Linked DNA regions of Drosophila melanogaster. The protein of the gene in region 2 interacts with the protein of the main gene of each other region in a pairwise test. Each region holds a gene or a part of one and is shown on either strand. Other genes may lie near its edges.

Region 1 (4,017 bases), about 17 Mb from region 2:
TCACTTTCGGTGGTAGGTGAAGAGCTCTCCGCCACCAATTAGGGGCAGGACGAGGTAAAGGCTGTCGAAGTCCTTGTAGGAGGCTATCAGGTTGACCGTGTTCGGGAACGTCATCGAACGCAGCACGTTTTTCTCGCTCATCACGTGGCTCACCTGTTTAGTCTTCACGATCTGATCCTTGCTGAGCTGCTTGGAGGCGTAATAGACGCCGGACTCGCGCTCCCTCACCAACTGCACCTTGCCGAAGGATCCGGATCCGAGGGTCGCCTTAATCTCGTAGTCATCCAGACCCGTACTAGGCGACGGCGTGTTGGTGGCGAACTTCTTGTTGAAGTCCTCGCGCAACTTGTCCAGGATGAGAATGTAGTCCACCTTGGGACTGAAGTGCATCTGCGCTTGCTCCGGCTGGGGACCCATTGCGACAACAACTCGCGTATTAGAGTTCTGAGTGATCGCGTCAATTAACTATACCAGAATTTCGAATTTTTGTCTAAAGCATTACGAAAGCTCGGATTGAAAATGACCTGACGCTCCAGGGCTGCTATTTATTTATCAAAAGACCATTTATGAATGTAATAAGAGAGCTGTATTGCGAAAACTACTTTTACAAAATCCAATCACGATAGCACCCCTTGAAATTAAGCAAACACTAAAGAAAACGACGATTTCGAAGGACACATTGACATTTAAAAATTCGCAAACAATTCGGGATGGCGGTTTATTCGGGACTTGTACCGATCCTTGAACTCGAAGTTCTCGAAGTTCGACAGATCTTCGGCGCCGGAAATGGTGGGCTGGTAGGGGGCGGTGACTTCCTGGTTGAGAATGCCAAACCAATCTACGCCCTGGAACCACGGATGACTCTTCACGTCGCTGGAGCCGTCGTTCGAGTTTCCTAAACTGAGAAGGGGTGGCATGAGCACTGCATTGGAAGCACCTTGACCCACTCCCACTCCACTCACCGCTTTGAGGTGTCCACCTGCATGAGGCTCTCGACAAGGCTCCTCAGCTGGGACGTAAAGTATGAGGGCATCTTGTAGTCGCATATGCAGATCTTGGAGTACATCAGGATTACATCTCGATTGTGAATGGCAAAGGGAGACCGCCCTGCCACAAACTCGTACACTAGGATACCAAAGGCCCACCAGTCCACCGATTTGTTGTAGGGCCGGAGTTGAACAATCTCCGGGGCCAAGTATTCCGGGGTTCCACACAGCGTTGATGTGCGGCCATCCACACGCTGTGATTATTTGAGGATGAAAGCAATGGGAATTATGTGAAGTCTTTTCCCCACCTTAGTGAAACCGAAGTCCGTTATTTTGATATAGCCGCGCTGATCGAGCAGAATGTTCTCCGGCTTCAGATCACGGTACATGAGGTGCATCTTGTGCATATACTCAAGAGCAAGTGCCACCTGGGCGGCATAGAATCTGGCGTGCTTCTCGTTGAACTTGCGAACTCTTTTTTATGGGGGGGGGAAACCCGTTGGAACCCAGTCTGTGATCAGATGAAATGAGCACTCCAGAAAGGGAATACTCACCTGCGATGGTAACTGAACAGCTCTCCTCCATTGACCAGCGGGAGGATTAGGTAGAGATAGTCGAAGCACTTGGTCGAGTCCACCAGGTAGATGAGGAACGGGAATCGGGCGGCGTTCAGGACGTGCTTCTCGTTGTGTACGTGGGCCACCTGCTTCAGCCGCACCAGATCCTCCTTGCTCATCATCTTGGCGGCATAGTAGTTCTTGCCACTCTTCTCCCTGACCAGCATCTGAAGATTATTATATTTCGAAGGTGTAGCACATCTAAGAAATACCCTTTAACTCACCACAGTGCCGAAACTTCCGTTGCCGAGGACGGCCCGGGTTATATAGTTTTCCAGATTGGTGTAGGGCGACTGGGTCTGGTGATTCCACCGCTCTTCGAACTCGCGACTCATGTTGTCTAGGATTACGTTGTAGTCTTCCTTGGAGTTGAAAACGTACTGCGAAGTGTGCTGGCTCATAACAGCATAACATCCGGCCAATCGCGCATCTTACGGCGCCTTTGCGAGTGCCTTCCGTTGCAAAGCTGGACTAGCGAAACGATTTTGAGTGGCAAATCTATTCGGTAATCGGCGCTTGATACACTAGAAATTTGGATTTCAGTAATTTTACTCATTAATCAGATAATCGGTGACGGCTGAGTCAAAGCCACAATGCAAAGTCCACGCTGTGGAGGACATGGGTGTCACAACCATGACTGCATTTTCAACACCCTATATTTGAGCCATCTTTCATTCTTGATTGATCCATTACTGGTCACATTCTAAGGATTCTCCATTTGTAGTTTCTAATTTGTTTGTCTATTTTAAGTAAACTACTTCATAAATCGTATCCCAGCAATTTAGCAGTTTAGCTTCAGGTAAAGTGAACTTCATGAATCTGAAGTTCCAGGAATGCCTAAAGTCAAGGAACGATCCTTTCAATTAGCCGACTGAGCCCTTCTCCAAGGTATGACAAATTTACCTCCATCTCCTCCCAGGACGACTGCTGAGAAATGGCAATTTCCTGCGACTGTGACTGAGTCCACACACATGTGCTTCTGAGTCCGACTTCTCGACATGTCCTGGAGTCTGGACCTCTCGTCCTGTTTTCCGTCTGCCTCCTGGCCGCAAAAGTAAGAAAAATTGCAAAACGTCCGCTTGATAAATGATGCTAACCAAGATTACATAAGTTGGTAATTTTCTAGTACATTTATTTCCACATGTCAGGCCAGTCAAGTTGGTAACTCCAGACCGCATCTTCATGTTGATGGACATGTGAGTGGGCCTCCATGAGATGGGACAGTGGTAGGCTTACGAACCGGATGCCGGAATTGTTGCAGGCTTTTAAGGTAACTGTCGACCGAACCGTTTATTGGCCATTTCGGGCCAGTCTGTTGTCATTGTGCCACCTAAATTGACAATTAATCATTATCTTTCGGCCGGGTCGGCATTCAGATTGGCAGATTGGGTCAGCCCTGGTTGAGTGTCCTCTCGAGTTCGAGCTCGAACCATGTGAAAATGGGTTTCTAAATATGCCTTCGGTCTGGCCTAATGCCCTGGCATTAATTCTCGAGGAGCGGAGAACTTCATTATTGATTGGCTGGCAAAAGGGGTTTTTGTTTTGAGGTGGGGGACTCTGACTCATCTACTTAGCTATACAGGCACAAATATTTGTTGGACCAAGCTTTTAATTCGCTTAAAATAAAACAAATCGTCACGTACTTGAAAACTTTCACTTGCACTCGAAACGGGAGGCGTGCAAAAACTAAACAATTTCACTTAGCCAATGTGTGTGTTCGGTACAAATTCCGTTTGAAATCCTGGCTCATTTAACTTAGAGCCCAGCCGCCAGATAAACTTCAGTTGGCTAAGATATGTTAACGACGGCCATAAATAAGCGGATAATATCTGGAAGGCCTAGAATCCTCCATATCCTCGGAATATATGTGTGCTAAGCGGGCCAAGAGCAGATTAAGTCGTACGCACACGTTTCTTGGCCGTTTCTTTTGGCCGCTATGGCCGTAGCCACACTTAAAATTCATTTGTTGTCTTGAAGGACTCAATCCCCCGATTGCCAGGACTTTTGCCCGGCGCTATGCAAAGTAATTGACGCCTCGATGAACTGTTGACACACATGGCATTTGTCTTTGGCGGCCTGGCTAATATTTGGCTTAGTTATCAGAGGCCATTTTTTGGGCTTAAGTAGGTGAATGTCCCGGCTCTACTCGTACATATATGGCCAGATTCAATTATGCTGAAAGGTTTCAGTTTTCCCTTAGATTCCACACCCCAACCGCCGATCCGCCGGAAAAGCAGCTGCCGGAGGACTGGCCTCAGCCATTAGCGCTAATCTCCGCACAATCGGGAATAAATCAAGGCACGCTCTGCACTCTCTGGCCGGAAAATGCATTCGGCATTCGGTTTTCAGCATTTGGCATTCAATTTGGCTCACAGTTCACCGGGCAGCAACAATGTAGTAACTTCCTAGTCCCG
Region 2 (4,639 bases):
AAGCAGCTAGCTATAAAGTAGTTGGCTGGTAAATAGCCAAAATTAGCCAAGTGGCCAGGCAGAGTTGCATTGCCGCAGCGTTGCCGGACCGCCGGCGACAAACATATGTATGCGTTCGTGTGGGTGGTAGCGTGTGAGTGTGTGCCGCAGCATGGGAAGCGAGTGATTCGCTGATTCGCCAAATTCGTCGTATTTACTTGGAAATTTGCAAACTAATAGCCAAGGGTCGCCGCCGAACGAGTGCAATCGAATTAGATGCAAAAATATCCGTTAATTAGGTGCATTGCGGCCGAAAACGTCATCGCCGCGAGTGCGACAGTGTGCGTGTCCCCAGTGCGTGCGCTCTCGTGTGTGTGTGTATGTGCGTGTGTGTGGCGCAGTTCACACAACTTGGCCTGGAAAAAGTGAAAGAGTATTTTTTCGGCCATATTGTGTTGTCATAGCTGGAAAAAGTGCATTTCCCGGCCATATGGAGATTCAGATCATATGCGAATAAATATTCGCTGAGCCAAAGTTTACTCAGAATCCCCCCAATTTCGAGTAAATAGGGCGACTTATGTAAAGCGGAGAACGAGAAACTATTTACATTTACAAAGGTGCGTACGCCCGTGTGCCTGTGTTTGTGTGTGTGCGTGTAACTGTGTGAGGGAGAAGTGCATCCAATTGATATGTTTGTCCATATTTTCATTACAAATTGCACGTTTATTATACGGTTTACATGGTTTAATTACAAGACTAGGAGCTACTTTTTGAGAGACAGACGCACGGGAACACCTGATTTGGGCATCAGCGGTATTCCATACACGCCGAACTCAATCTCACACTTTTCCTTCCGGATCTCCAGATCGAAGTTCGACAAAACCTTGGCAATCGCTATCTTCACATTCACCTTTCCCATGCGGGCGCCTGGAAAATAGACGGAAATTTCTTAGTTTCCATGGGCAATTGGAAAGAGATCGGTGGGATATAGTGGATTTGAGTATTACTTATCTGAAGTATTCAAACTCCCATTTCACCCTGTTCATGTGGAACCTTTCTTCTTACCGATACACATCCTGGGTCCCTCGCCGAATGGCAAATAGGCCGCCTGGGTGTAGTCTTTACCATTCTCCAGATACCGTTCCGGTTTGTAGGCAAGCGGATCGGGGAAGTACTCCTCATCGCGGTGCATTCCGATGAGGGAGATTATGATGGGAGTACCCTTTTGGATCACAAGTTTGCTATCGGGCACAGGATAGTCCTTGGTGCAGATTCTATTCAGCAGTGGCAGAGCGGGATATTTGCGAGCAGTCTCTGTTAGAAAGTATACAATATTAAACCATTTATAAAAAAAATATGGAAAATATATATGAAAGAACTGCCATATATTCCCATCAAAACTTACCGAGTATACACGCCTCCAGATACTTCATGTCCGAGATGGCGTCGTATGTCAGCTTTCCGCCATGCTTTTCGATGGCACTGCGAACATCCTCCTTAGCCTTTTCCATCACTTCAGGATTTTGGGTTAGCTCGTATAGGGTAAAGGATGTTGTAGAAGCTGTCGTCTCATAACCGGCAACATAGAAGAGGAATAGCTGGCCGGCAATCAAGTCCTTGGACATGGACTTAACACCATTCTTAGTGCTTTCCGCCGACCAAATATTGTCATCGGTATTGATCTTTCCCTGATTCCGCAGCTGCAGCAGAAGTTGCAGCAGATCCTTGCGAACTATATTGTTCTGTTCCCTGAGATCGACGGTTCGATTGGACAACTCGCGCATTCTTTCGGTGGCCTCCTGTTTCCAGCCGATTTTCACAAAGAATTTCTCCAGCCTGCAAATGGTTGAAAGATATAGGTTTTATGTTTAATTATAAAGTCTATAAAGTCCACCTTCAACTTACCCGGGATACAGGAAACTAGATGTTCCACGAATAATATCTTCAATGTTGTTACGATTCACTTTTTTGCTAATAATCTGGAATTCGTTGTTGGGATCCGCAAAGCTATCAACATCCAGTCCAAAAATAGTCGTGGCAATAATGTCGATGGCGTATCTAACAAAAGAAATAAATGAAGTACACTTCATTAGTTTGTTTATCAGATAAGGGGTATCTGTTTAAATACAATTAACAACGGCCATAAATTTCGAATGCGTTACGTTACATTAGTTTAGTATGTTCATTTTTTTCATAAGACAGCAAAACTATTGCAAGTTCTCAGTTCGGATGAAATGACATGATTTATAATCGCATCGCAGTCTGAAACTGTGAATTGGTTGTTCAAAAAATAAGTTTAGTATTTGTAAAACTCAAATAATTAGCTACATTATTGCAACGCAATTGATATTTGCTAATCTAATCGCTTCAACTTACGTAGCCATTAGCTTCTTGAGTTCCAGCTCCTTGGCGCCGTTCGCAGGCAGTTGCTTCCTAATGCTGTCCACCAACTTGTCTCCAACCGAATCTGAGGTCTCGAACATGGCCTTCAGTTTGCCGGATGTGAATGAGGGCGTCAGCTTGTTGCGCAAGGCCCGCCAGCTGGCTCCTTCCATTTGGAACAAACTCGCGGACATGGGATCGTTCTTTTCATCCACATACACGCCACGATCGTGAAAACTGGCAAAATCCTTGACCAACACATCGTGGGCCAGTTGGGCATCTCGGACGAGAAGTGCCGGTCTCAATGTGAGATACAAACCGATCACCGGTTCCTTTGTCGACTTGTACATATCGTATATGGCCATACCGAAGGATCGCTTTCCCTTTGTCACGGATTCCAGGGCACCGAACGGTATGCTCACTCCCGTCGATGGGAATCCCTTGCGATCCCAGTAGCTAAATGTCCACTTGAGATAGACATATAGCAGCGTGACTGCAGCGATCAGCAAATATATTCCGATCATATTGAATCTATACTGTTTACTATGTCCGCACTTCTAGCGGTCTACAACGCAACTGACTAGTCGTAGTCCACTGCCGATTTATAGTCGTTAGGTTGGCAAACAATTTCGCCATATCGCTGGGGTGATTACCGTATCTTTGGGCTCGGGCGTAAACAAATCCACTCGAGTCGAGCGATTCCCTTATAGTGTAGCTCGATCAGTATATATGTTTGCTGTTGGCTGGAGGATTCCTCGCAATGAGATTATCGTACAATGCTTTCTCAGTGTGACACGACAAGTTTCTAGTTCTCAGCGGGCGGCAAAAAAGTGCCGACAAATCGTTATTATATTGGTAGGTAGCATTTTCTTTTGACCCATCTAGCCAACGTTGCGCTGGCGATACGGCAAATCGTTTCGAGATAATGATGGAGTACTTTTCTTTCTATACATATATTCTTGATGGCGTATCGGAATTGAGGAACTTTACATGCATTGATCTACACTGACTACATCTAAGGAATTTATAATGTCACTTGTGCCAATCACTTACACATACACATAACTCTTATTCATCTCAACGGTTATACAACTATTTTAATTCCCGAGAAGATTGCTAATGATGTGTATACGTAAAAATTTATAACACTTAGTCGTAGTAATGGTGTTATTTTTATGTGGAACCCCTTTTGCCGATTTGGTTTTGTTTTAATCAGTCGATTTTTCACATATGTAAAGGAACATTGTATTCATATCCGCATTAGTAAATATGTATAACTAGTTTTTTGTATACATATAATCATTATAAACTTATACAGCACTAACAATTAGGCAACTATTTATAAACCGCGAAAACAGGTTAATAACGTATGTATGTATGGAATAACTTATAACATATCTTCATAGTAAGGGTTTATAATTTATCTGGGATCTCCAAATTGATTTTGTTGTACCATTTCTGATTAATTAAAGGAGATACATATATACTCGATGGATATAAACTAGTTTTTAAAACTGCAGATAGTATATACATAAGTCGGTATGAAATTTAAATTTGATTACACGTTTGCAATGACGATCTTTACATCTACCTTTCCTGTGCTGGAAAATACGCAGTATTTTATCTTTCAGATAATTTTAGAAATGTATATTGTGATGGTTTCTTAACGATGCATTTTCTAGCAGTTGGGTTGTTATTTTTGCCATACTACAGGTAGATAGAAATGTAAAATTTCTCGAAATAAAGGTGGCTACCTAAAAGATAGATTATTATGATATTTTCAGGATTGCAAGAACTGGGTATTTGCAGTCCCTGAAAAATTTATATTAGTAGATAAATTAGTAGTTAGATTGGAAACTGCACATTATAACAAACTGCACAAGGTACCAGATCTTCAGTAACTTCATGTTAATCATGTCTATTGATTGTTTTATAATTCATATCAAAATTAGTTTCTATTTATAAATGTTGCTTAAAGACTGGTTTTAATCACATTCAAATACTTGAAAGATGTACTCAATTTAAATGAAGCAGATAACTGGTTTCCTTATCAGGCGCTGTGGCAATGTGATATAGTTTGCTGGGTGTTCCGAATCGGATTGACCTAGGCCCAGGGGCTATACCCAATGCTCTGAAGAACCTGTGACTTGCACATATTGTATCCCTACAAATAGCCAAACTCTCTCCGCCCCAAAAACTTTCCGCTTGTCTTTACCGCCTGTTTTGACCCGCTTTGTTGACTTTGACGTTTATGGTAGTCGCTCTTCGATGTTCAGGT

Evidence for each region.
Region 1: the proteins of Cyp6d5 (region 2) and Pka-C2 interact in a two-hybrid assay, tested with the Drosophila melanogaster proteins (one large-scale study listed by BioGRID).

The regions. Positions count from the first base shown.
Region 1 is NT_033777.3:30,694,965-30,698,981, forward strand, and holds Pka-C2 (protein kinase, cAMP-dependent, catalytic subunit 2), read right to left. Parts: upstream 2,175-4,017; 5' UTR 2,005-2,174; coding exon 1,828-2,004; intron 1,771-1,827; coding exon 1,541-1,770; intron 1,461-1,540; coding exon 1,295-1,460; intron 1,241-1,294; coding exon 963-1,240; intron 901-962; coding exon 687-900; 3' UTR 573-686; downstream 1-572. Other genes in the region: CG12069 (uncharacterized protein), read right to left, coding at 5-417.
Region 2 is NT_033777.3:14,027,530-14,032,168, reverse strand, and holds Cyp6d5 (cytochrome P450 6d5), read right to left. Parts: upstream 2,942-4,639; 5' UTR 2,886-2,941; coding exon 2,356-2,885; intron 2,038-2,355; coding exon 1,885-2,037; intron 1,816-1,884; coding exon 1,385-1,815; intron 1,294-1,384; coding exon 1,045-1,293; intron 907-1,044; coding exon 743-906; 3' UTR 686-742; downstream 1-685. UniProt on the Drosophila melanogaster protein: May be involved in the metabolism of insect hormones and in the breakdown of synthetic insecticides.